Linked DNA regions of Schizosaccharomyces pombe. The protein of the gene in region 2 interacts with the protein of the main gene of each other region in a biochemical or structural test. Each region holds a gene or a part of one and is shown on either strand. Other genes may lie near its edges. The genes, in order: rpb7 and tdh1.

The links.
Region 1: the proteins of tdh1 (region 2) and rpb7 form a complex in vitro, tested with the Schizosaccharomyces pombe proteins (one study listed by BioGRID).

The regions. Positions count from the first base shown.
Region 1 is NC_003424.3:2,899,238-2,911,635, forward strand, and holds rpb7 (DNA-directed RNA polymerase complex II subunit Rpb7), read left to right. Parts: upstream 1-2,846; 5' UTR 2,847-3,050; coding exon 3,051-3,524; exon of another isoform or gene 3,525-3,591; coding exon 3,592-3,636; 3' UTR 3,637-3,896; downstream 3,897-12,398. Other genes in the region: P-type calcium transport ATPase Cta4, read left to right, coding at 1-2,457; tcb3 (tricalbin), read right to left, coding at 4,132-7,809; translation elongation factor 2 eft201, read right to left, coding at 8,464-10,992.
Region 2 is NC_003423.3:2,799,238-2,815,629, reverse strand, and holds tdh1 (glyceraldehyde-3-phosphate dehydrogenase Tdh1), read right to left. Parts: upstream 8,036-16,392; 5' UTR 7,994-8,035; coding exon 6,983-7,993; 3' UTR 6,579-6,982; downstream 1-6,578. Other genes in the region: N-end-recognizing protein, UBR ubiquitin-protein ligase E3 Ubr1, read right to left, coding at 1-2,281; protein mni1, read left to right, coding at 2,476-2,501, 2,550-3,114; SPOM_SPBC32F12.12C (golgi membrane protein involved in vesicle-mediated transport), read left to right, coding at 3,903-3,973, 4,024-4,061, 4,374-4,558, 4,681-4,881; transcription factor TFIIH complex subunit Tfb5, read right to left, coding at 5,550-5,756; pgm1 (phosphoglucomutase), read right to left, coding at 11,449-13,113; CDK inhibitor Rum1, read right to left, coding at 14,349-15,041.

The DNA.
Region 1 (12,398 bases), on a different chromosome or scaffold from region 2:
AATCGAGAAAGTCTTTACTTTATTCTATTTTTGCTAGTGTTCGCTATTGCAGCCTCTGGATATGTTTGGCATGTCGGCAGTAAAACTGAGCGTAGCAGATACAAATTAATGCTCGATTGTGTTATGATTATTACTTCTGTTGTCCCTTCTGAACTCCCTATGGAGCTTTCTATGGCTGTCAATGCCTCATTAGGTGCTCTTTCTAAATATTATATTTATTGTACTGAGCCATTTCGTATACCACTCTCCGGTCATTTGGATATCTGTTGCTTTGATAAGACGGGTACCTTAACTGAAGAGCATATGGTTGTTCAAGGTATTGCTGGAGTTAATAGAAAGGATCCTTATAGTCTTGAAAAATTAAGCGATGCTTCTAACGATGCGATACTGGCAATTGCTACGGCACATACCTTAGTTTTGCTGGAACAAGAAGGTGAAACTCCCAAAGTCGTTGGTGACCCCATGGAAAAGGCTACGGTTGAAAACTTGGGTTGGTCTATTGAGAAAAAGAATTTTGTTTCAGCACCTGAAGGTTCTGTTTTTTATAAAGGTAAAGTTCAAATCATTCGAAACTTCCAATTTTCTTCAGCTTTAAAAAGACAGTCTTCTGTTTCCAACGTAAGAGTGTCTGGAGGAAGTTTTAAAACTTTTGTTTCGGTAAAAGGAGCCCCTGAAGTGATTGCTACTATGTTGCGGGAGGTCCCTAAGGATTATGAAAAAATTTATAAAGATTATGGTCGTAAAGGGTCTCGAGTACTCGCCCTAGGTTATAAATATTTTAAAAATTATATCCCTGAGAATCAAGTTTCTGATTTGAGCCGTGAATCTATTGAGTCTGACCTTGTATTTGCGGGATTCCTTATTTTTACTTCTCCTCTTAAAGAGGATGCTAGGCAAACTGTGCAAATGCTAAACAATTCTTCGCATCGTTGCATGATGATAACTGGTGACAATCCTCTGACCGCCGTATATGTAGCTGAACAAGTTGGTATTGTTGAAAAGCCAACCCTCGTATTGGATATTAAGCATGAGAATGAAAAGATTTTAGAGTGGAAGAGCACAGATGATACAATCAATTTACCCATGAATCCTCATAAATCGTTGGAAGCTTCGTTGTACGAAAAGTATGATCTTTGTATTACCGGTCGTGCTTTGTCTCAAATTATCAATCCGGACGTTATTATGTCAATTTTTACTCACGCTTGGGTTTATGCGCGTGTTTCTCCTTCTCAAAAAGAATTCATGATCTCAACTTTGAAACACAATGGATATATAACTCTTATGTGTGGTGATGGTACCAATGATGTGGGTGCTCTTAAACAAGCACACGTTGGTGTAGCTTTATTAAATGCTTCGGAAGAAGATATGCTTGAAATGCAAGAGAGAGCTCGTAATCAGAAGTTGATGGGCGTTTATGAAAAGCAAATTCAACTTGCTAAAAGATTTAATCTTCCAACTCCTCCTGTTCCACCTGCACTTTGCCATGCTTTCCCTCCTGGTCCTAACAACCCTCATCGTGAAAAGACTCAAGAAGGCTTAAATAAGGTCCTGGAAGATTTGGAAACTAAGAAAGCTAGTGATGTTCAATTAACGGAAGCTGAGAAAGCTGCTGAAAGACGGGCAAATCTGGCTAACAAGATGTTTGACACTTTAGCAAACGCTTCTGATGATGAGGCACCGAAACTTAAGCTAGGAGACGCTTCTGTTGCTGCACCATTTACTTCTAAATTAGCTGTAGTTTCTTCGATAACCAACATTGTGCGTCAAGGTCGTTGTACTTTAGTTGCCCTCGTTCAAATGCATAAGATTTTGGCTCTCAACTGTTTGATCACTGCTTACTCGTTGTCAGTACTTCATCTGGATGGAATTAAATTTGGTGATACTCAATACACTATTTCGGGAATGTTAATGTCTGTTTGTTTTTACTGTGTTTCACGGGCTCGTCCACTTGAAACTCTTTCAAAAGAAAGGCCTCAAGCTGGAATTTTTAACACTTACATAATTGGTTCTGTTTTAGGTCAGTTTGCTATTCATATCGTTACCCTTATCTATATAACTCGTGTCGTTTATCTGTATGAGGATCCTTTAGAAAAGGTGGATTTAGAAGAAACCTTCAAGCCTTCTTTGTTGAATACTGCCATTTATTTGCTTCAACTTATTCAACAAGTCTCAACGTTTGCTATCAATTATCAGGGCCGTCCTTTCCGTGAAGCTTTAAGTGAAAATAAAGGAATGTACTATGGCCTTTTGGGCATTGCCTTTGTCGCTATTGCTGGTGTAACTGAGTTTTCGCCTGAACTCAACGCAAAACTTCAGTTAGTTAAAATGGCTTATAATTTCCAGATACAACTGTTAGCCACAATGGTTGTAGATTACGCGGCTTGTTGGATTATTGAAGAGCTTATGAAAAAATACTTCCGTGACAACAAGCCGAAGGAAATTGTTCTTCGTAATTAAGAACAATTATATAAGTGGGTTACACCTACTTATCTGTACAAGCTTAGATAAATATTCATTTGAACAAACTGATGAGTAATTGCATTACTCACTGATGGGCAAGGATGTCAATTTTCTTCGGTCAGTATACAATATTTATCACCATTTTCAATTTGATTACTTGTTATGAATATTTTACATAGACTCAATGATTGATTCATTCTTGGCATATTTGATTTATTAATTTGGAATAGTGTAAGTGAGCTTTTTATAGGACGTAATAGATGCTTATTAGAGATAAAATAATATTCACTTGTTAAAATCCTTCTCAGTAGCAAGGTGAAAGGCATATAAAATTTGGGATATTTCTATAAGCGCTATCCCATGATACTGGGACTTCGTAAATCCTCGAACGCTCAGCATATATCAAGCAATTGCGAAAACCGCTGAAAAATTGGGATAATTTAATTTAATAAAAAGAGCTAAGCTCATTTAAAGTTTTTTTTTTTAATGTTCATCATTTTTGCCCTATTTTGAACCAAAATTTTACAGTTTTAATACGCATCGACCGATCGAGTTGAATTGGGGCTTTTCTGCATTAACTTATCGATACAATGCCTTTCTTCCTCAAAGAGCTTTCGTTAACGATTTCTCTGCATCCCAGTTACTTCGGTCCTAGAATGCAGGACTATTTAAAGGCAAAATTGTTGGCGGACGTGGAAGGCACATGCTCAGGTCAATATGGCTATATAATTTGCGTTTTGGACAGTAATACTATAGATATTGATAAAGGGAGGGTAGTTCCTGGGCAAGGGTTTGCCGAATTTGAGGTAAAGTATCGTGCAGTGTTATGGAGACCATTTCGTGGGGAAGTGGTCGATGCAATTGTTACAACAGTAAATAAAATGGGATTCTTCGCAAATATAGGACCATTAAATGTCTTTGTCTCATCTCATTTGGTGCCTCCAGATATGAAGTTTGACCCTACTGCAAACCCTCCTAATTATTCTGGTGAGGATCAAGTTATTGAAAAGGGGTCGAATGTCAGACTTAAGATTGTCGGTACAAGGACTGATGCAACCGAAATTGTAAGTTTCCCAATAGTTCACAATATTTATTTTGCTTAATTAATCGTGTTACTAACATAATATCTAGTTTGCCATTGCAACAATGAAAGAGGATTATCTAGGCGTTCTTTAAAAAGATAAAATTTTAATTTGTCTTTTATTTCTCATGTTCATTAATTCAATGCTAACCATCGCGTATACTGTTATTATTAAGTTCCTTTCTAGGTCTCAAAGTTTATTCATGTAGTTGTAAAAGCGCATACCAACGTTTATCGATCTAAATTTTGGCTCTATTCTGTGGTAATGTTATGGCTAAAAGCTGCGCAATATCTTTAAAAAAAAATTTTAACTTTATATACCCTTTACACAACAATAGAATTTCCCTAATTATTGTATATAATCGCAATATCAATCGACGATTTCCTTATGAATACAATCTTGGGCTAGCATTTTATCTATTAGGAGTGCATAAGTCTTTATCGTTCTTCGGTAAATAGAAAACCATGAAAATATTCAAATACCTTATAATCAAAGTATGCATTTAACATAATGATAATATATTACTCAAATAAGTCAGAATGCGAAAACCGAATTGTAATAAAGAACTAATAAATAACAGAATGGAAAGTCACTTTGCCTTCTCGTGATGAATTCCTTTAAAACCACGGCTTATTCCTTTTCGCATTTTGTTCGTAAGGTTAGCCACCGAGGCAACCCCATCAACAGCAACATTACCTACAGTACTAATGCCTTTAAGAGGCATACCAACAATCGAAGCAGTCTGTCCAAGAATTCCTTCGACAAGAGAAGAATTTCCGGCGCGTTTGGAACGAAGGACCCATTTTGGGCTCAGAGTTATACGAAGATAAAGAACTCCTTGTTTGCTATCCAAAGGAATTTCATAGTTAGTCTGTTGTTGCTGTTGAAGAAGCTTGCAGTCGATTACACAAGAGCCCAAATGATCGTCCTTGTTACCAAAATCCCAATCAAAAACATTAGCAACAAAATTACAGGTTTGCTTGCAAGGAAGTTCGACCTCGAAACTTTCATTAAAAGTAGGATTTAACGTCCGCTTGTGCGTTTTAGTCCGGTACACTTCTTCTCCTTGCAACTCGAAAACAACGAAAGGATCAGACTTTCCATTGGAATCTGCGGCAGGGAGATCCGTGGCTTTTATGACATCGACGGTCATTTCTCCCATATTTTCGTACATTTCAACTTCCTCAAGTTTCACAGGAACAGGAGTTAGCCTAAAAGCGACCAAAATCGAAGCACCATCAGGAAATGCAATTTCCAGAGGTTTAGTAGCGCCTTTACTAATTAAATCGCGACTCAGCATAGTTTTGCTACCAACCTCCTTATCACCATCTAGCAGCTTGAAAGTACATTGAGAATATTCAAGTTGTCTGATGAAAGTATTGCCGTACTCATGCAGGGTAGCACCACCGGTGACGTTTAAGGCAGATGATAAGAAAATATGATGAGGTAAATCGTCTAAAAATATAGCTAACTCTTGGGCTGGCTTAGCTATTTTATACGAAATTATGTCGAAACCCATGAAGCCAGATTCAAAGTCTAAAGCTGCATTTACAGCTTCAGACGGCATAAGCAGTTCTGAAATCTTCTTTGGTTTTGAGGTTTTAACAGACGTAGACCCTCGAGAAGTTGAAGTGTTGTCGACTGCTGTAGGCGTTTTTTGGCTTTCCGGAAGCACTTCGATATTTACTTTATCAGTTGCAACAGTTGATGAAGCTTTAGGAGCGGGTGTCACATCAGGGCTGAGCGAGGTTGTGACAGCGGATGGGAAAAAGTCACATTTGAAAGTTATTGTTGCATTACCCTTTATACCCCGGGTAGAGGACAAAGGTACAGTTAGTTCTCGAGGGTCATGGTATTCCATTAAAGCACCATTTTCGCCTTGATTGATAAAATTTGATATGTTGATAGGGGTCTGTCCAATGAGTTTGTCTTCACCAGATGAATTGTAATTCATCACTTGTAAAAAGAAGATGTCATGTTTGGTAATTACGGGTGCATACATGTATTCATCCCAAAACGGATTTACATTGCTAGCAATGACCACTGTCCTAAACTGTTTCGTATTGTGGGACATGATGCGTGCGTAAGAATCACATTTTTTACCAGGAATCTTAGAGTGCAAATTATTCGCCGAACGTAAATGGATACGAATTGCACCGATGGGAGTAGCAAGAGCCATCGAAGAAATACTGTCGTTATTTAACTGAGCAGGTTTCCACATAACAGACATACGTACTCTACCGGATGGAGCATGTTGTAATGGAAACCATAAAAGACCCGTCTTAGTAGCAGCAAACAAGTCCTGCAAAGATACATTAGCGGTCCCAAAAGGATGCTCTGATTCCTCCGTGAATATTTGAACACCCAGAGTAGCATTCTTCCCTTCTGGAAGAAGAGTACCAAAGGATTCTTCCCATGATGGATTATTGTTTTTCTTAATCTTTCTGGTCGTATAGACTTCTTTATTGTTAATAATCAATTTGGCATAAGCGGTAGGTCGTTTCGATGGATCATTGCTAAGCTCTTTGCATTGATGCACAGTAAATTGCAGAACACCAGGGCCATCGACTTTAGTAATTTCTTCGCCAGAATCAGGCACAACTGCATGGAATTTCATGTCATAATTTAAACGACCAACAGTCTTGCCTTTTAAAGTCAATTCTACAAACGCATCATTTGTCACAGGCATAGCTTCCAGAGTAGCTAATGGTAGTACAGCACTGCCCAGAAGTTTGTCACTTCGAATATCGTTAAAATCATATACCTCCAAATTCAGGTTCTCTGAAAACGAATTCAAAACGGAATAAAAAGTTTCGTTGAATACCGGCGAACCAGTGTTGTGAGCCACTTTAGATTTACCAATAACACGATCCGCTGAATTTTTTATAACAACATATGGATCAACAGCTCCACCTAAACCGTCTTTAAAACCATCTCCCTTGCGTAACTTAAATTCTACGGCTCCGAGAGCAGTATTTAAGCCAGCGGCACCCATCATAGATTCGATATCCAGCTCATACACATTGGGACTGTACATCATTGGGCCCAACGTGTTATGTATCTGTTCGGTGATAAACGTAGTAAGACCCGGAATGTTGCCAATATCAAAACCAAACTTATCACCTCCGAGAGGTTTAAGAATGTAAGAGAAAACAGGTTTCTCGGTAAAAGTCAAACCGACAGTCTTGGCATACGGGTATTTATCAATAAGCTTTACTTTAACACGAAGGTTACCAGTGAAGGAAAGGTCCTCAATTAAAACAGGCATTTTAGCTGAAGCAATACTTTTTCCTATTTTCAAATCAAGAGCAATCTTAGGTTTGATGCAAGCAGCAATCTCACGACCCGTTAAGTCACTAATATCATTTGGACTAAATGCTAATCTCAAATCCATCATAACAGTGTCTTCCTCTGTTTTAGGGTAACTACGGATAAATCCCATTCTCGGTGATTTGGTTCCCAGAGTAAATTCGGAGAGAGCCATGGAGTCAATAAAGCTGGGGACATTTTCTGAAAGAATCTGATCCGTAATTTCCGTTATTCTCTCACTTAAAGAAGGTTCAAAAATATACCAAAATTGTTGTAAAAAGGTGTTTAGCCAAGTGACAGTTTCGCTATCATTTTCTAATTTTCGTGTAGAAAGATATCTCGTATAGTCGTCTTTGAAATTGACTTTAACACGTCGATCGCAAATTCGGTAGTACTGGATACAAACAGCCATAATAATGAAAAGACTCAAAAATCCGAAGCGCAAATAACCAAACAAAAATGACATGACTGCCGTATACAAAACAAGCCTTGAATCCTGGAAATGTTGCATAAAGAGAATTTTAAGCTCAATGCATAATTGTAAACGTTCATCAGTCAGCCAAGGACAGTATTGTGCCAAAATGTTCCTAACCTTTTGGTGCCTTTGAATGAATTGCATCGCATCCCTTTTCCTTAATTCCCTCTCGCTAACAGGACGAGTGGGCACTCCATCAACGTCTGATTTCTCTTCAGATGATTTGGGTGCTTGCATTTGTTTAGGGACCTTTAAGTCTCTAGCACCTGAGCCACGGGCTCCAGTATCATCCTGTACTTGAACCTCAGAAACTCCAGCTGATTGTGGGTTTAAGTTATTCTTGTCTGATGGTGAAGCTTCTTGTTCCTTAACTTTCACCTTAACACCACCACCAGCTGTATCAGTAGGAAGATGCATTTTTTCAACCTTTTCATTCGGGTCGGCATTGCTAGCACCCTTAGAGGGCTCAGCCTGCGAAGACATTGTTTCTGCTTAAACAATCAAAATAAGGTGTAGTTTCTGCTTTATATAAATAACTGGTTAATCCGATAACCAAAAAATAAATAGTTTCCGTAATTAATAAATATTGCTAGACCAAAAGAGAACGAATAGTCAAAAAAAAAAAGGTCTTATCACTGCTTGGTTCGTGACAGATGTTGGAGATTAAAGTCACAGTGTATAACTGGCTGTCATAATGAATCAAGAGTACACCAATATCTGGCCAGTTTTACTTTCCCTTAAGATTCCTTAAAATAAGTTGGAGTTTTTGGCGCTACACAGAACGGCGTTTAAATTCAGTAACAGGATTTAGCATAACAAATAGGGCGCCCTTGTTAAGTTATATAATCGGTCTCATATTGAAACACTGTAGAATAATAGTAGTGTCGAAAGCGGATTGAAAACTAAATATGAAACGACTTCCTTGCGATTTTCATAATTATAGGTGTATTTTACACAAGAAACGTTTATCTACAGGATTGCCGAGTATTTTATAAAGGTTTAAGTTTATTAATTCACATTTTTTTAGCTAATCAACGCTACAAAATTAACGCAAGGCTAAAAATCCTCAACACAGCTGATTAAGAATCGAGTTTTTAAATAACCTGTATTAAATAGTAAAAACCAAAACTATATACTTTAAAGGCGGTCATAATATTCAGTGTAGTCGGGAACATTTTCCTTAAGACCCTTACGCTTACGAGCTTCGCAAACAATTTGACCAGGTTTAGAAGTAGGATCCAATGGATCACCAGACATGGGAGACCAATGGTCAAATACCAATTGAGGGAAAGCTTGACCAGCAGTAGCTTGACGAAGTTCACCAGTGAAACCGAAAGACTCGTTGACGGGAAGGTAAGCCTTGATGTTGTACAAGGGAGTACCAACACGTTGCTCCTCAGAAAAGACATGACCACGCTTCTTGTTAAGGACAGAGTAAATACCACCCATAGCGTTTTCGGAAACTTGGATTTCGACCAAGAAAACGGGCTCCTGGATGATGGGAGAAGCCAAAAGGGTAGAAGCGTAGACGACACGACGAGCAGTAGGAATAATTTGACCACCACCACGGTGAATAGCATCAGCGTGCAAAACAACATCAAGAATGTTGAAACGGCAAGAACGCAAGTTCTCCTCAAACATGGGACCCTCCTTGGAAGCCCAGGCAAAAGCAGCAACAACGGAATCCTTGATTTCGTTTAAGTAAGCAACAGCCTTGGTTTGATCAACAACAACATTGGCACCAGTGGTGTCAGGACCGAAACACCAAATCTTACGAGCATCAGTGACATCCCATCCAAACTCGTCAGCCATGATACGAGCACGAACCTTGAAATCATCACGAGGATTGACGTGACCAGTCTCAATGGCGACAGAGAGTTCTTCACTCATGGGCTCAGCAGTCATGAAGATACGGTTGTGCTTGTTGGGAGACTTAGAGAGAGCAGTCATGCTAGAGGGCTCGCTAACGGACTCACGGTAAGAAACGACGGGAGGAGAAATCTTAAGAGGGATACCAGCATGGTCTTCTTGCAAATCCTTCAAGCAAATCTCCAAGTGGAGCTCACCAGCACCAGCAACAATGTGTTCACCAGATTCACTGGTGGTACACAAAACACAAGGGTCGGATTTGGAAAGACGCTTAAGACCTTCAACAAGTTTAGGCAAATCATTACCGTTCTTAACCTCAACAGCGACTTGGACGACTGGGGAGACGGAAAACTTCATAACCTTCATGTTGTGGGCAACTTCGGAAGTGGTCAAAGTACCAGATTTGACCAAAAATTGATCAACACCGACCAAACCAATAATGTTACCAGCAGGACAATCCTCAATAGGCTCAATTCTGGAACCCATCATAAGGACGGTACGTTGGATAGCCTTGATGAAGAGATCGTCCTTCTTACCGGGAACATAGTTAGGGCCTTGAATGCGGACCTTCAAACCAGAACGGACAGTACCGGAGAAGACACGACCAAAAGCATAGAAACGACCACGATCAGATGTGGGAACCATCTTAGAAACGTAGATCATAAGAGGAGCATTGGCATCACAGTTACGGATACCAACAGCACACTCGTCGTCCATGGGACCTTCATACAAAGTCTCAGCACGATATTGTTGAGCAGTCTTAGGAGAAGGAAGATGAAGGACAATCATTTCCATAAGGGCATCAGCAGCAGGCAAGAACTTGCGCATAACGACCTTCAAGAGAGCCTTACCCTCAAGCTCCTTCTCATCGGGCTTGATGGTAACCTCGAGCTTACTCAAAAGAGTGAAGACCTCGTCTTTGCGGCTGTTCATAACAGCATCGAAAATACGATAAATGGGATCCAAGATGAACATGTTGAAAGCACGTTGGTTAGAGTTACCGTTAGCATCGGTAGCAGACTTGGACCATTTCTTGGTCTTAGGGTTGAAGTAGTTTTCACCCCAAAGACGTTGCATCATCTTGTTACGGTCAATACCAAACTTCTTAGCATAACGGTTGGCAAATTGACGGACAGTGAAAGCCCAACCATGAAGACCGGAAGCAAAAGCTACAGTACCCTTGTCAGGGAAAACTTGGCAGTCGCCAAGGACCTTGTCGTAATAAGTAGAAATAACGACGTTAACAGATTCAACGACACGAGCAAAATTTTGATAAAGCTCTTCTTGAGAAATTTGAAGTTCGAGCAAAGCACGGTCAACTTTGTTAACAACAACAACTGGTCTAATACGTTCACCCAAAGCTTGACGGAGCACAGTCTCGGTTTGGACACAGACACCCTCAATGGTATCAACAACGACCAAAGCACCGTCAGTGACACGAAGAGCGGCAGTAACCTCAGAAGAAAAGTCAACGTGACCGGGAGAGTCAATCAAGTTAACCAAGAAGTCAGTACCATCAGCAGGCTCCTTCATATCCTTCATATCATCGTCAGTCATTTCAGCAAACAAGGAAATGGCAGTAGACTTGATGGTAACACCACGCTCTTGTTCGTCAGCACGAGTATCCATGAAACGAGCATCACCAGCCTTGGCAGCAGAAATAATACCGGCCTTTTGAACCAAAGAATCAGTCAACGTAGACTTGCCGTGATCGACGTGAGCAATCACAGACATGTTACGGACATTGGATGGTTTTCCCATCAAATTACGGACCTCTTCAGGAGTGAACGCAACCATTTTTTAGAGATTTTTAAATGTCAGTGGCGGACGAAACAATTTCAAACACACCAAGTCAAATTGATATTATAGTCTGAAACCCTAACCCTGTGTTTTTTGCGATTTATTGCGTTGCAGTATTTTAATCGTCGTTATAATAATGCATTAAGTGAAATTTAAATTAAAAGAAAATACCTATTTGAGAATTAGAGAGGGATTACATGACTAGGAAGGTTGAGTTTTAAAGTCATTCTCTCTTATTTCAAGTTTTTGTTTAGTGGGTAATTGTGCTTTTCTGGCTTAAAAATAATCTTTGTTGTACAAACTGCTTTGGATCTTTTATTAAAGATTGGTGATTTTCGAATAAGTAATTTTTAAATACATTTATTATTCTGCTTTCTGTGACAATGTACCAAGGATTAAAACATCTTGACACAGCAAATCTAAATACTAAAAGTACCTAATTTTTGAAGTCTAAGGCTGTGCTCAGGGCCTAAGATTAATGGTTTCATTTAGAAAAATTTAATGACAGTTGAATATTTGTTAAATTCAATGAAATTTTATTCACCGATTAACTTGCCTTACAAAGACTTCATACCAAATGATGTTGAAAAAAATGGTTCAAGCTAGTAAATCCAAATCAATTGAAAGATTCTGCTTTTAGAAAGGCGTAAAAAGGCTTCTTCTAAGGTACCCAGCTTCACCCTATACTAATTTTAGTAAATTACTTGCGTGAGCCTTCATAATAAATACTAGGAAATTCACTTACATAATGCATAATTATTTAATTGAAAGCTTAAATTCATATTCCAGTAGCATATTATATACAAATATACAAGCATTCTTCCTCTTGGAAATTGAGGATACTCTATAATAGCGAAAGAAACCTGTCAGGCATAACAGAGTATAATCCCATACTGTGTGGTAATTAAAACAATAATATTTTACAAATATTGATCAATTACTAAAAAAATTAAATAAAATAAAATTTGGAACGTGAGGTTATTAGCCTTCCTAAAACAAAACTAAGGTTGTTATATTAGCGAAGACTTTAAAGCTTCGCTAGTTAGTTTAAGTACTGAATATATTAGATGTCATTAAAAAGTTACAAAGGAAAACAGTTTCTTTATTTCTCCTAGATATAGTGAATAATTGAATATACATAGCACTAAGGATTGCTATACAATCATATGAAAATTTTCGGGTTCGAAGATGTTCTGTTAAATACAGCATAGCATCATTCTTACGTTAAAACATGAAATGACATGCCAAAACGTAAACGACAGATTCCGGATTTGGTAATTGAAGAAGCAAACTATCTCGATAGTGTCATACTCCTTATTCGGTATTTATTCTTTTCATAGCTCTGTCTCTGCCTTATATTTGTAGGGCCTTCCTGCACTTTATGATCAGTACTTTCAATACTT
Region 2 (16,392 bases):
TTATCCAAAGCTTTGCGCGCATTTGACTTAACCAAGCGCATACACGAAGTGGGTGATCCGTAACCGCAAGTAAATCTAGCTGAGTCCATAGTAATTTATAGTTGTCTCGTTCAACGTAAAATGATAAAAGGTACACTAGCAACCAGTGTAAAGGATGATGGAACGATACCGGTTGAAGAGCAATATCATACTCTATTAATTTCGAATTACCTCTTTCATCAACAGTAATTCCTGTAGTCAATGATTCAGTATTGGTCCAAGACTCATTTCTTGCCTTAGGATAAAGAATTAGGGAAATTAGGTAGTTTATAGCATTGGCTAATTTATTCGTGTTGAGCTCCATAAAGACATTTCCAACATGTCTACAGAGTTTAGCAACTTGTAAACTAACGTTCAAAACGTACATCCATGAATCATTTTCCCATTCAACATGCTGCGATACTGCTCGTGTATAGGGGCACATACCTTGAAACAGGTTAAAAAAATCGGCATATTGCTTCAAAAATTTAAGGTCTTCACGAACAATTTCAGCAACACATGGAATGCTTAACATAAATTGAATGTGATGGAAAATGTGAATATACCTACGTGAATGAAAGGCAGCCGAATCTGTTCTTATCATGGCATGCTGATCGACATAGTTCGGCGTATTAAGTTTTTTATAGGTGAAAAAAGTGTACAAAGTTGCATTAATTGTAGTCAAGAAATCATACTCTGTAACCAACAGTTTGGCAACGTCTGCCACGGTAAATATTTGCATTGAAAAAAAAATGACTGAGTGTTCAGGTTCACGGTCCAACAGAAGAAAAAGTTCTGCCAACCTTCTATAAGAAATGGCAATCCTGGCTCCCATAATTTCCTTAAATCCAGGCTGAGTGATAAAGTATCCCAAGTACAACTCCTGTAATTTGTAACGCAAGCTCTTCCAAAGTTTTAAATCGTAAAGAAAAAAATAATCAAATCTTACTCTGGAGGCATACGAAAGGACATCCGGAAGAGAATTAGAAGGATACCAATGTCTAGAATGAATAGAAGACTCGTCAGTTTCTAGCATATGACTAGAAGTGTCAGATGGACCTGACGAGTTAATGTGATCTTCATTCAAAAATATATCAGGACTGTCAATGGCCACAATTTCAGGAAGAGCAAGACTTCTAAGGGAGAGCCTAAAAGTAAGATCAGAATTATGAAGTCCGCAATTCCAAGGTCGAACAAGTTCTTTGCATATAACAGAGCTAAAATAATTTCTTTTCCCACAAATACTGCTTCCTGCTATATCAGCAAGCCATTCTAGTAAAACAGCACAAGATTCTTCTCTAAAAATGTCACGCATAGAACGAATTGAAACAGCTAGATTGATCTGGGCAAGCTTTTGACCAATTTTAAGAAGCTCTTTTATATTAGTCTCAGTAACGATGCAAGCTCTACCGATGTCATTAATAATATTTGCCATTTTCTTTCCAAAAACGTTATTCGGCAATTCTAATGCAGTAGTAATTTGTTCATAAAATTGCTTGAAGGAGTGTTTTTCATCATTCCACAGTACTAACGAATACATATTGCAAGAATCATCAATATCGCCGTATTTATTTTCACTGAGACGCGAAGTTTTCTCATCCTGCAAAATCGATTCCAAGGTGGGCATTTTTTTGAGATTTTCAGGACTACAGGAAAAAACATCCAGTACGAAGTCAAGAACACAATCAATTGTTGTTTGGATACTGTTTTCTAATTTTTCCGGAATTTCGTCTATCATATCGTTGCTAATCGTAGCATCTTCTTCATGTGAATGTATTTTGCAACTCACATCCCCAATCCATGCAGCTGCATTACCACAATCACAACAACCGCCGCTACCGGCACTAACTGTAAACGAAGTTTCATGATCCTTATGACTAGTTGCACGAAAACATTTCACGCACAGCGCTGAATTGCTATCAACACTACACGTTTTGCATCGATAGAATACTTCACCCTTTCGAAATATATGGCCACATTTTGACTCACAGGTTCCATGACGATACTCATCTCCCTCACTGTGTCCTTGAGCACGACGGAGAAGAAAGGAGGCATCGATGGTTGGTCTCTCTGGAAGCAATGTATTCCACAAGGTATGGTCATATCCGAGAAGCGCAGAAAAGACTTCATTCAGAAGGGATTTTTTAGCAGATTCTGACCATAGAAATGAATACATCAATGCATGAGACTGTAAAAATAATGAAAGCCGTCTCCGAATCAATGCGCTTCTAGGCAACGATCTGCTAGACTCGTCTTGTAACATGGCATGCTACAAATAATAACTTTTTAAATAGATAAAATAAAGAATAACATATAGAACGAGAAAGTCCTTTTAGTGTAAATACCGTAATGACAGGACTGTGTTGTTGTGAAAAGTAATTCTTAGGTAGGAATAGTATAAGTACTTCGAAAACCAAACTTGAACTTCCAGCGTGTTAGTAGAGTATATACTAATTTATGGAAACCAATGGAAGTTTTTCAGGGTATGGCTTATTAAATTTTTTATTAAGTTGACTAAAGTTTTTATTTAGAGCACGATTGGTTGATGGCAAATGGATAATTCCAGAGAGCAGGCGAAAAGATGGTAGCGTGAGGCGTGAAAGAGCTGTTAAACCAGGATATACTGCACCTGAAGATATCAAAAGATATAGACCAGGAAGAGGAAACTTCGCTTCCTTAGAGAAGCAAATGAAGAAACTGCAATTGAGTAACGATGCTTCAACTTCTAAATCGATCGATAGGCCTCCAATTTCAGAATTAGAAAAAGAAAAATTAGAAAGACCACTTTCTAACAAGAAAAAGGAGAAGAATGATCATAAAGCGGAGAGTTTAAAGCATGATTATGATAGTGTTGGCGAAAAGCGTATCTCGAAGGATTCTGTTAAACATCTGGATAAAACTTATTCTTCAATAGATTCTAAAAAAGACTTTAAGTATAATTTCCCTAAAACTCAAGCTCCAGAATGGAGAAGAGGCGCGAAACCGCTTTCTAAAACAAGTGAACCTAGTGTCTACTCAGAAAAGATGAGCAAGAGAGAAAATAAGAAATCCATAAATACCGTTGATAAAAAAACTGGATACAAGGAAAAAGAGTAACTGTCCTCTAGTGAACCACAATGATTACAGATTTGACACCCGCTGAGAAGAAACCCAAAAAATAAGCAGGAGTGCTAATGAAAAGCAAAAAAATGGAGAGCAGCTATTTTATCGTCCTTAATTAACAATCATTGAAATAATTTCATCTATTTGCTTCTGTATTCATCAGTGATATGATTTTTGTTGCGAGAACAGCATACAAAGAAGAAAATGGGCAATGATGTTTCTGCTTTATCTTTTGCAATGTGTACTCTTTGGATAATATGTAATTATTAAGGGAAAAAATAATTGCATAATGCTTTGAAAGCAATCCTTTGTTGTATTGCTGGTTAGCAGTAAGAAATGGTAGCTTAACGTTATCAAACATAATTGTGGTTTTTTTGAATGTACTATTTCAACAAATTACTTAAATAGTGATGTGAATTCTTGGAAAGGAAATTTTGTCGCTACAGTTGATTTTAAATTAAAGAAAACTTAAATTCATTAGTACTTCTAGTCTCGTATTAACTATAGAGATTGTATAACTTATTAAAAAGCTTACATATTCGGAAATATGGATGAAATGATTGTTTACAACTGGCTATTGTTTGTTTACCTAGCTAACTATAGTACATATTCGAACTGTTACTTGGGTTACCCTGACGCTGCGTGCCACTTTGTTATTAAAAAGAATAACAAATACTAATTTCGCTTCGCCAAATAACAACGAGCTAAACATCATAAACTGACATGAACTGACATCTAACCAGCATCAGAACAAAGACGATTTCTGAACTACACTTTTCAACATGTTTGAGTCTATAATAGTTGACAGAGCAAAGACAACGTTTTTGGGAGAGCTCAAAAGCTACAATTTTTCGTATGCGAAATCAGTTGCTTTAACAGCGAAATGTTACTAACTTATTGTAGTATTTATGCACAGTGGCTTGGAATTCTCTCAATTTTTCGTATGTAAAGAATTTCAATCGCGTAATTTGGTTATTCTTTTTAATGTTTGTGATATTCTCTTCTTCTTGTATTGATTGCTTTGTACTTTCTGATAGCTGTGAAGAGAGTTTATGAGCATAAAGAGTTAAGGTGTAGCAAGTGAGTGTTCAAAAGTATTTTTGGTTTGATGAGAATGTATATGTCCCTCAATTTTTTTATTTTGCAGACAATCAAGTTTATTGAATCAGATTACTTCTCATTTCACTGCACACAAATTATGGTCCATTGACATTTAACATTAAAAGGCAGATCTGCTAACCTACTACCTTCAGTTTGCATTATCCTAGGTATTGTCAACCTTTTTCACGTTACCCTTGTCGTTCTTTTCTCAGCTTTGACTATCATTGAGGGCGTTCTATTAATTTTTATTGAGCTTCCTTTCCTTTCTCGTATTTGCCCTGTATCAGACAAATTCCAGGCTTTTACAAATGCTTTTGCTAGCAATTATTACCGTGGTGTAAGTTGTTATAGTTTCTTTTAAGAAAGGCACACAGGGGAAAAAGCATGCCTCTGGATATTTTTAATTCCTTTGTTGCCTTCCTGCTGTCTTTTACATACAGTGTTTATTAACTCTTTTAGCTTGTCTATTTTATATTTTCCGTGGTAACCTTTCTCAGTTGCATCTTTATGGCTACTAGTCTTATTGCCACCGGCATTGTGCTCGCTCTTACTGGTTTATGTTACACCTTTGCCGGTATTAAAGGTCAGGCTTTTACTTCAAGTTCCACGCTTGGTGGAACAGGTATCACGACCGAAACACCTCCCAGCACTATGGTTTAGAATATGCAAAATTGATCTTTATTGATCTTTTTCCTTGTTCATTTGTTTATAGGACAAGCATGAAACTATGCCTTTTCCTTGTTGTATGTTCTTCCAGTTCCCGGTGTTGAAAAAGTTATCACGCGTATGAACTGAACTATCTTTCTAGAAACACCACCAAGTTTCAATTAGGAATGCATAAAAATATCGTTAGACAAAGAAGAACATTTCTCTTATTATACATATTAATTATATAGATAGTATAGTATATTCAAATAGTATAAACTTTCATTCAATACTAAAAATTAAATAAAGACTTGCAAGCAACTACTGAATAGCTCGGCGTAGTTAACAATATATTCAAAACTTATTTTCAAAAAATACAAAATCAGCTGGCTCCTTTCATAATTTTTGCCCATCGGTACACGAGTTTTGGGTACTGTTATGTAATTTGACACAAACGTCAAGTCATTAAAAAATAAACCAACCTTTTCACCCATATCCAAATAAAAGGTAGAATTAATTTCTTTTTTGCATTATTTTAAAATTTTTTTACAATTTAAAATTGAGAAAATGATCATAGATCGTTGACATTGAATGATCCATTAATCGTACAATATTAGGTTCGTCCATCGACTGAAACATTCAGTTCATCATCCAAAGAAAACTTTCGTCATACTAATCTCTTCTTACTCTTCAACTTGATATGTATTTTCCTCAAGGCGTCGTTCTAACTCTGCTTTCACCTGTTCTAGTCGACTTTCATTTACTAACAATCGTTCTTCATCGATCTCTTCGATAACGATACCAGGAGACTGTTCGTCCATGTTCAAAATCAATTGCTTAACGGTTGGGTCACATTCAACCAAGAGTAAGCCTTTTTGTGCGCGTGGCATTGCCTCAAATTTGGTGTCTGCCAGCAGAATCATGGCATGCTACAAGCTCCTTAAGCCACAGGTATCAAGTTACCCATGATCGTTGGATGCCGAATGTAAGAGCAAACAAGAATAAATATCATGCAAGTTTGTTGTGTTAAAGATGGTAATGAATTTGATTATTATGATTATATGCAAAAACAAATTATTTATATGAATAAAACAAGTTGAGGTATTTGAGATCAGCAAAAATTGAAAAAATGATATGACCATTTCGGAAACCTTTTGCTACCATTGCTCATTCCATCCAGCCTCATACTTTTGTCTTAACGGACATATGTATTTTTAGATTGACAATAAACATTTTCGTTTTTGTTGATTAACATGTAATCATGTGATGCGCTAGTAGCGTACACAACTAACATAGCGATGAATTGTTTGTACTTTACAGTGGGTAAAAATTTTTAAATTACAAAACCGACTTCGGTTTGAATAAAGTCTAAAGTGTGCATTGGGAGATCAACTAGTTCTCGGGATGCAGACGGAAAAACAGTAAAACAAGCTCTTCGCGGTACAAGTGAAAAAGATCAAAACGGGCGTTCATGCTTAAGTGCATCTTCATATTAAACTTAAGCTAGCGAAATGGGGGACAGTGGATGCCTCCTACCTAAATCCATCAGTAAAGTAACACCGTCCCCACAAATGCGACTCACCACCAAAGCAATAATATATAGTATAAATAAGACTTTGACATAATATCCTACAAGGAAACTGACAAAAAAAAATTCACTTAAGTTGACCAAATGAAAAAGAGATTACACAAGACTACAAAAGAAGATCATTTACAAAAGGAGACAGGCAAACTATACGTATCACAAACCAAAACGAAAAAAAGTATTTATCAAAATCATAAAATTTATTTATAAGTATTTATAAGTTCAAAAACAAACGCTCAGCCATCTCATCACTGCAACAAAATTAAAAAAAATATATGCAACAATGAATGAGAAGGAGGGTATCAAAGAACAGAGGAAATTTGTAAAAAAGTCATCCATCTATTTATTCACATAGAGTGCGCGTCCACAAAAAAAATGCGAAAATCTAAAAAAGAAAACTCCCGCACTGCAAACGACAACGACTCCTTTGTCTAACATAAAGAAAAAACGGGGAAAACAACTCCAAAAGACTTTCCTGCATTGCCTTTAAGCACCCACCCGACGTTTCTTAGCATCGGGATGATTAGCTAGTTAGTTGTCCTTGGCGGCAGTGTAGGCAACCAAGTCAACGACACGGCGGGAGTAACCCCATTCGTTATCGTACCAAGAGACGAGCTTGACGAATTGAGGAGAAAGTTGGATACCGGCAGAGGCATCGAAGATGGAGGAGTGGTTGTCACCGCAGAAGTCAGTGGAGACAACAGCGTCCTCGGTGTAACCCAACACACCCTTCATGGGGCCCTCAGAGGCAGCCTTGATGGCGGCCTTGATGTCCTCGTAGTTGGTAGGCTTGGCCAACTTGACGGTCAAGTCAACAACGGAAACATCGGGGGTAGGGACACGGAAAGCCATACCGGTAAGCTTACCGTTAAGAGCGGGAATAACCTTACCGACGGCCTTGGCGGCACCAGTGGAGGAGGGGATGATGTTGGCGCTGGCGCCACGACCACCACGCCAGTCCTTCTTGGAGGGACCGTCAACGGTCTTTTGGGTGGCAGTGGTAGCGTGGACAGTGGTCATGAGACCCTCCTCGATACCGAAGGTGTCGTTGATGACCTTGGCAAGGGGAGCCAAACAGTTGGTGGTGCAAGAAGCGTTGGAGATAACCTTCTCAGAGGGGTTGAACTTCTCCTCGTTGACACCGACAACGTACATGGGGGCGTCCTTGGAAGGAGCAGAGATGATGACACGCTTGGCACCACCCTTCAAGTGAGCAGAGGCAGTCTCTTGAGTGGTGAAGACACCGGTGGACTCGATAACGTAGTCAGCACCAGAGGTAGACCACTTGATGTCGGCGGGGTCACGCTCGTTGTGGACATCGATGGCATTGCCATCAATGACGAGCTTACCATCCTTGATCTCGACGGAGCCATCGAAGCGACCGTGGGTAGAGTCGTACTTGAACATGTAGGCCATGTATTCAAGATCGATAAAAGGATCGTTGATAGCAACGACTTGGATGGTCTTAGCGACCAAAGCGTTACGGAGGACAATACGTCCAATACGACCGAAACCGTTAATACCAACCTTAGGAATTGCCATTTTGAATCAAGTGTAAATCAATACTATGGATGAATGATCTATACAGAAGCGATGCTAGGCACCGCCTGCCTCTATTTATACCTTTCCATCCCACACAGCAGCCATCAGCCGTGGTGTGAATGGGGTAAGGGTTTCCCCCGACTATCTTTACCACAATTGCCTCGCACTCGATTCGGAACAACTAAGGAGCAAGGTGATTGGAGAAGGTGCGCGATCGTGATGTGGTGCCAACTTTCCTTGACTTTCTTTGCAAGTTGTTCCGAGATGGTCGTTGCTTCGTTGGTAATCTGCCTCGTTCCCGCTCCTGACTTTGATTGCACATTCCATGACGTCAGCCTTGTGAGGAAAGTTTTTCCGACGCCTACCTCAGCGTGATGCAAGCCTTGTCACCTGAAGTCAGGGGGAAGGAGGAATTGCTAGCACATTCCAAAGTCAAAAGGTTGACAAGGCGGTTGTCCATTGGCTACGGAAAAATCACAAGACAGGGTCCTTTCGTAGCGAGGCCAAATGCACCCTGAGTCATTTATCGCCTCTGGCCTCTTTTAATCAAGCGCCGAGCGCATTGTTACCTGCAGGAAGCCGGGTGAAAGCGGTCGAAGAGTTTCGAGAGGACGATTGCGATGGTAGGTGAGGAGGTGATGATGGCGCTTCGGTAGTAGTGGTAGAGCGGTGCGTCGTTGCTATCATGCGTACATTCAAGCAGCATCAGCAGCAGCAGTTGAGGATGACAGCGGCTGCTACTGATGCTTGAGCTACAGTCGTCAAACAGATGCAGACTGTGGGTGTGGGTGGAAAGTGGGTAGAGAGAGAAGAGATGAGTGATTGTTGGTGCGATGTCCTGAGCTTCAACGTTTGTGCATAAAAGGAATGGACGCACAGTTTGTTTATTTAGTGTGCATGCGTGCGTGTATATTTTGTTATTTGCATTTTTGTATGTATGTGTAATCGTATTTGTATGGGAGTTTACAAAAATTCAGGAATTTTGATTTTCCATACTTTACAGCGTCCAAACCTTCTCACATCTGCCAAAACATCCTTACTAATTGAATTCTCCCGTCATCTCATCAACATTCATCATCATTTCACGCTACGCCAACAGTGTGGCATATACATGCAATGCAATCCACAGGCAATTTCAACGCTAGCATTGACTTGCTCAAACATGGCATGTCGACGTACAGTGCACCACTCGTACTAATACACTGCATTGCTCCACGTAAGCTCCATGATGTGAATTGAGGAATTTACTCCACCATAGTTCTTGTCTTTTAGCGAAAAGAGACATTCGTTACGAATCTCATATTCTCCTTGTGCGTAATTTTTTGACTTGCCATTTCATTCCCAAAACCAACGAACGAGCAGGGACTCAAATGAGCATCGATTCAAACTGAGTATCGACTCGTAATAAACATTGACTCAACTCACAATCTACTTGCATTTCCAACTTTTTTTTTTCAACTTTTTTGTTTCCAACTTTCTTCTAACCTTGTACATTCCCATTTTCCATTTTCCATTATTAACACTCGGTGTTTTGCCCATTCTCTTTTTTTCCTCTTTTTTCTCTCTCGCTCCCACTCTGTTTCCTCTCTTTTCTCTACCTTCTTAACAAGGTGGCTGTTGTCAAACACTTCGTTTACATCGTCGGCATTTCGTCGTCGCTTCTATTTTTTTCTAGGCATAATGGTGCATCATAAGCAAAATTGTATCAATAACATAGTGTACGATTGTCACGTAATCGGCAAAGCGCTTCTTGGCCTTGCCTCGAAAATCCGCTCTTCTTCGTTTTGATAGGAAAGCAAAACATACACATACATATACATATACACAATACAAATAAAATATGCATTATAATGAAACAGTTTCAGGATACATCACTTGCTCCAGTCTCCAAACGTACTTGGCAATATCGCTTTACTTACAACACTCCCATTCCACCACCACCCATCTACTCTTTTACTTATTTAACCTGTATAATAGAATATCTATAATAGTATAAAGTGTAATAACCCGCTTTCCTTCCATGTCTGCTGTTTGCCTTTTTTTTTCTTCCCGCACTTTCATAACTATATACGTTCTTTTTCATCTTCTTTTTTGTAACGTTTCTTCTTTTTTCTCCTCCTTTCCATACACTTGGTTCGCAAGTACTTTTTGTTTGCGTAGATGTATTGAGTAAACTAGTCTCTACTCGCACTTTTAGTGTATACGCATCTACCCGACTTATGCGCCTTCATTTCGCCTCAGATGGTTTATTTCTTTTATTTTTTCTTATTATATTTTTCTTTTCTTTTCTTTCGATTTTTTTCTTCTCTACATACTCACTAACGCATCCTCACACTTACCTACTACTACCTACATACCCATTACCCATTGCTTTTACATCTTTAAAACCACGGTCTTTGAACACCATTCAAATTAACGTTTTAGCTTTTCTAACTCTAGCATGTTTCTTTTCCCTTAGTTTTTCCGTTTCTCGATCAATTCCTTTCTACTCTTACTCAATTTCATATCTCGATTCCGCACCGAGTAACACGTTTTTCATCAATTCCCGCTGATCCATCTTTCCACTTCAGCGAATTGTTGCAATTGCTTGCAAACAAGCATAAAAAAGTTTAAACTCTTTTTTCTAAAATGACTAGACTTTTGCCTAAAGGGCTGGTAACGCATTTTCCTCATTACTTTCCATACCCATCGTAAGACGACTCTCCAAATTCTTGACTAGCAATTGCTGGAATGTTACTTGACCGCTCCGCTGTAGTGTGTCTCTTTCCTTTTGTATGCCGCACACTCTATTGAAAATGGGTATTTGGATTGAAATTCATTCGAATGGTATAGGAATATGCATTTGTAAAAATAATTTGTATCTTAATTTTTATCGCGCGCATTCAACATTTATTTATTAATACTTTACGTTAGGACAAACGGTACTGAGCATTCCTCTTCTCATACATCATTCGGTATGCCCAACTCCATATTAAGTATCTTTTTCAACTCCTCAGATTCCTTTTCATGTAGCATAGTCATTAAGAAAATATTTATAAATGTTTTCCTTTTAAAATCTATATTCAAGTTCTCACTTGTTTTAGAAATAAACTTTTTCCGTTTAATTCCCAACCGTTCTACAAGCTAATGTTTACTTTATGATCATTTTTCCATTATGCAAACCCAATAATAAATCCCTCTATCCTACTGTCTGTCTCTCTCTCTATGCATATTTGAGTTTTAAACAATCGAGTTGGTTCATGGTAAAAATGCTTTTATTCATTTCTCCTAGTAATACAAAGTATTATTAAAAAAAAAGAAGAGAAGAAAAACCCTCAAGGGGTTTAGTAAAAAAAAATGTAATTCGTTATTGCTCATGATTTTCATGAATTCAGTGCAAATAATTCGTTAAAACGCTAGTAGTTTTTTAATTCAGCTAATAAACCTCATAAATTCAATGATAAAATATACTATCTTTAAGTAATGACAGTTGGCTCCTTACGACCAGTCAATTCCTCCAGAGCCAAGATTTCAAGAGCTGCATGAACCACTGGCTTCAATGCAACTTGAGCATCAAGATCAAACTTGCTCGAATCTGATTCGTGCTTCTCCATGTAGAGTCGTAACGTGGCTCCGCTGGATCCAGTACCGGACAAACGTGTCACAATTCTACTACCATTCTCAAATTTGATGTATAATCCTTGATGCTTGCTTTCGCTACCATCAATGGGATCATGATACTCAAAATCACCGGCTTCAGAAACGACAAAACCAGGCAAAACTGCCTCTCCAACCTTGCTCTTATCATCGGCAATGGCACGCATTCTATCCATCACCTTACCGGCAGCTTCATTTTCCAACTCTTCATAATCATAACGACTGTAGAATGTACGGCCATAAATATTGTAAAAATCTTTCTTAACATCGATCAACGTCTTGATCTTGGGGTTTTGCGCGTTCAATCCAGCAAGAATGTTCAACCAACACAAGATTCCCCAAACGCCATCCTTCTCTCGAATGTGATCACTACCGGTTCCAAAAGACTCTTCACCGCAGATGGATAAACGCTTAGCATCAAACAAGTTGCAGAAGAACTTCCAACCAGTAGGAACCTCATACACATTCTTTCCCTTATACTTGCCAACTCTGTCAATGGCGCCAGATGTGGGCATTGAACGAGCAAACCCATGAACACCTCCATCACGGAAGTATGGAATTAATTCGGCATGATGGGCAATGATGGCTACACTGTCACTAGGTGTGACGAATGCATTGGCACCATAAATCATGTTACGATCACCATCACCATCAGATGCTGCTCCCATTACAATGTTATCCCGATCAACACGAGCCACCAAACTCTTGGCGTAAGTGAGGTTAGGGTCAGGATGACCACCACCAAAGTCGGGAAGAGGTTTGCAATTCTGACAAACTGATGAAGGCATACCGAGTTCCTTACAGAAAAGAGCCTCACCGTAGGGACCAGTGATACCATGTAAAGCATCAAAGACAAATGTAAAATCGGGGTTTTTGGATAGGAAGCTGCGAATCAAATCAAAGTCAAAGATTTCTTTCATCAACTGAACATAATCCTTGACCGGGTCGATGACTTCAACCGTCAATGGGCCATATCTACGGACACCGGTCGTCGTTAAATCCAAGGGAGGAATCTTTACCATTTTGTATTCGGATATGGTTTTAGTAATGGAATAAATTTTCTCAGTAACAGATTCAGGTGCTGGTCCACCATTGCCAAGGTTATATTTAATACCGAAATCGTTCTTGGGACCACCGGCATTATGAGAAGCGGTCAAAATGATACCGCCGGTTAGCTTGTACTTCCTAATAATGTGACTAGCGGCGGGAGTAGACAGATATCCATTTGTACCAACAATGATCTTCTCAACACCATTGCCAGCAGCTATAGCAGCAATGACTTGGATGGCATGAAAGTTGAAATAACGTCCATCACCACCGACAACTAGATGGGCTCCTTTGGCAGATGGTTCAACTACATCCATCGTAGCTTGAACAAAGTTCTCAACGTAATTTGGTTGCTCAAAGACAGTAACCTTCTTGCGAAGACCTGATGTACCAGGGCGTTGGCCCTCATATGGTTTCGTTGGGATTGTTTCGATCATGTTGTGTTCCTATGAGTAAACAGCCTCGACTTATGCAAACTCTAGACTTTCAATAAAAGATAGATGATATTATTAATCGTTTCTTGTTTTGCTTCGTAAAAAGCTAAGGAGTGTTCGGATATGCCACAAAATGATTCACTAACTTTTGTGTTATTTTATATGCTCAGTATGGTAGAGGGGAGAAACACGGGTACCATGTAAATATAAGAGTTACGAATTTTTAACGAACTTCACTGTGATGTAAGTGGCTTCCTTGTTGTCATTTTGCAGTGCAAATGTAAATAAAAGTGACATTATGTAAACAAATCATCTTACCGCTCAGGTAACATAAATAAATACATTATTCATCATGCTTCATGGTGTGAAGAAAAAATGTTAGTCAAGTAGAGTCGGTTAGGCCTAATTATTACTTCAATGAACGAAACGATATTACACTATAATTTTACCCAAAGACTCCTTTCATACGCTTAGAACCAGTTTTGTTATCCATTTGTAGGATTTCAGTACCAGCTAGTAAACTTCACTATATCACCAAACCACAAATTAACTCAATGTAACAGCAATACCGTAATGTGTATAACTGTCTAAGAAGCCTAGAATAGTATTGTATATGCGGTATAAAAATACCTTTTTATTACTGGGATAAAACAATTGAATATAAAACTAGTTATTGAGAATAACAGACTATAGTTTCCAAACCAGCAAAAAATTTAGAAATCGAATAGCATTATTAACTAATCGATAAATACAACATTTCAGAATATATTCACTCTCTGAACAAAGAAAAGAAAATTGTGAAAGCCATGTAATATTAGTATAAGTCTTAAAGTAAAAGCTCAGTGGATGAAATTAGGAAATAAGTTAAACGTATAATATTTCAAAGCATGCCGTAAAAGGTTGCTAAAAAAAGTTGCAATGGCTCAGGGCAGACACGGGAGGACGATAAAAAATTAAGTTGCCAAATGGAATATGAATAGGCACAAATGGAAAGATGGGGAAATGTAATTATAGATACTCAATTAAGAAAATCGTGGTGATATTGTGGTGATATTACCATGAATGACTAACGACCAGCGTTTGTCAAAATGCATTTTCATCAAGAATAGAGAATAGGAGGTTCTGATCTACTACCAAAAGTTCAAACGAACGATTATCATGAATAAGGCAGAAGAGTATTTCGTGATTGGGCATTTATATAAACGGTATCAAACACAATTACAAAATGCGAAAAAAAGTTATCGTAATAAATTGTGCCTGTTTTCATCTTTTGTATTAGATCGTGATTTTTGTGGTGATGAATACGCAGGTAAACGCATTTGCGGTGGGGGAGCAACAAAGGAACCTGACGAGGAAGATGGAACCCTTGATTTTAACGAGAACATTTTATTCCCAATAGAATTCAGGTTTGGAGGGAGAATGCCAATTTGAGAATAGTCATTAAGGTCTACAGAGGATGTTGGGTTATCTGAACTAGAAGAAGGCGCCGAGTCAGCAAACAAGAGTTTGGGCTTAAAAGTAGATAAATCAGTTCCAGGCCTGAAGGATTTCTTGATTCTTTTCCCCCGAAAAACATAGTACAAACCATCAGAAGGAGGAGGAGTAGGCTTTCTCTTCTTTCTTGACAAAAGCTGGTTATCAGATGAACTGAGAAAAGGATTGTGTTCTCTGTCTTCTTCCATACATCTTTCTAAAGAATTACTCCGATCTTGTAGCATTAAATTTGGTAGTAATTGCTTTTTGGGAGTTTTAGCAGGTGTAGGTGGAAATGTGCTAACTTGAGGTGCTGGTAAATCGCTTTCAGGGATTTCATCTATCATAATAGAAGAATTACCTTCTAACGAAGCATCGATGACTCCTTTAAAACTCCCAGGAGACTCTGGGGTAGATGGAGTACACAACCCTCGCATAGGTGGTGTTGAAGGTTCCATAGCGAACTGACAATCCAAAAACCAGGTAAATGCAAGAAGAAATCCTTTATGTATCGAGCGGATTATCAGAAGAGCGTGTATTCAAGCTTTCCGATATGATTTAAAAAATGTATTTTTCAATGGTTTTTGGGTGTAGGAAAATTCAGCACCAGAAATGTTCACAAGTTACCTGTAGCAAACGAAAAGGTAACAATTTAATACCCACCAAGCTAGCGACTGCGCTTTGATAATTATACAATTTAAACAATATTTGTAAAATTGTTTGAAATAATATAGAAACAATTGAAATGGCTTCAATATATCAAAAGGAAGGAACAAAATGGGATTGTAGCTTGTAAGAAAGGTATTGAAATTTTCGGAGTAAACAAAAAAAAGGAATCTTTTAGAAAACGGGAATGGGAAAATGTCTATTTTAAAAAGCAAAATTTCACTTCATACCAAGAAGTAAGTGCAGCTAAAATATCAAAGAATCAACCAATCAAAAAAAGATATGTGCCAACTTTAAAATTGTAAATAGAATAATTAACAAGGAAAAATATTCTTTCTAATGTTAGAATTTAAAAACTAGTTGGTTGTTTGCTTAGACGAATTCAACTTTTTCACATAGAAATTGAATGCTCGATTTCTTATAAAGATGCTACCGTTCCTTGTAAAGAGTATAATTCAAAATTAAATTTTAAAAATAAAAAACTGATAAAAAAGCGGATTCTCTTTGACCAAATTCGTACAATTTAGTAATATATTACTGCAGCACTCAAGTAAACACACACGAATCAAGACTAAACAAGATCAATTGATTGTATATTATATATAATCCAAAACAAAAAAATTCAGTTTGCAACAACCGCTGTCAAGGAACCCAAAGCTTATGTATGTAGTAGTAGAACTGTATGTTTGACGTTCTGGTTAACTGGTTATTTGCTCATTTCGTGGTAACCATTACTATTAGATGGCTGTAACGCAGTACGCTAAATTAATTACTTTGATCAAGTACAATTTTTGCATAAATGTGTAGTTAGATTTTAAATGAGAATCGATTTTCTGTTCTCTTTAGCAAAAATCTAAAAAATTTACTAACAATTTTAAGCATCATAGAAATATTCCAGTTCGAAAATAAAAATATATGACTGCAAAACCGTAAATAAAAGTAAACTACATTTGAAGTTCTAATAAAGAAGAAACTTCGCGAGTATGGTAAATGAAATAAGTCTCTTATTGTTATTTAAAAGCAAGTACTATCAAAACTAATTCAAGGGATATTTCGTTAAGATTGTTCCTTATTAGCAAATTGATGGTATAAGCAATATTTATTACCTTAGCTCAAATGCAGGAAAAATGGATTTATGAAGAA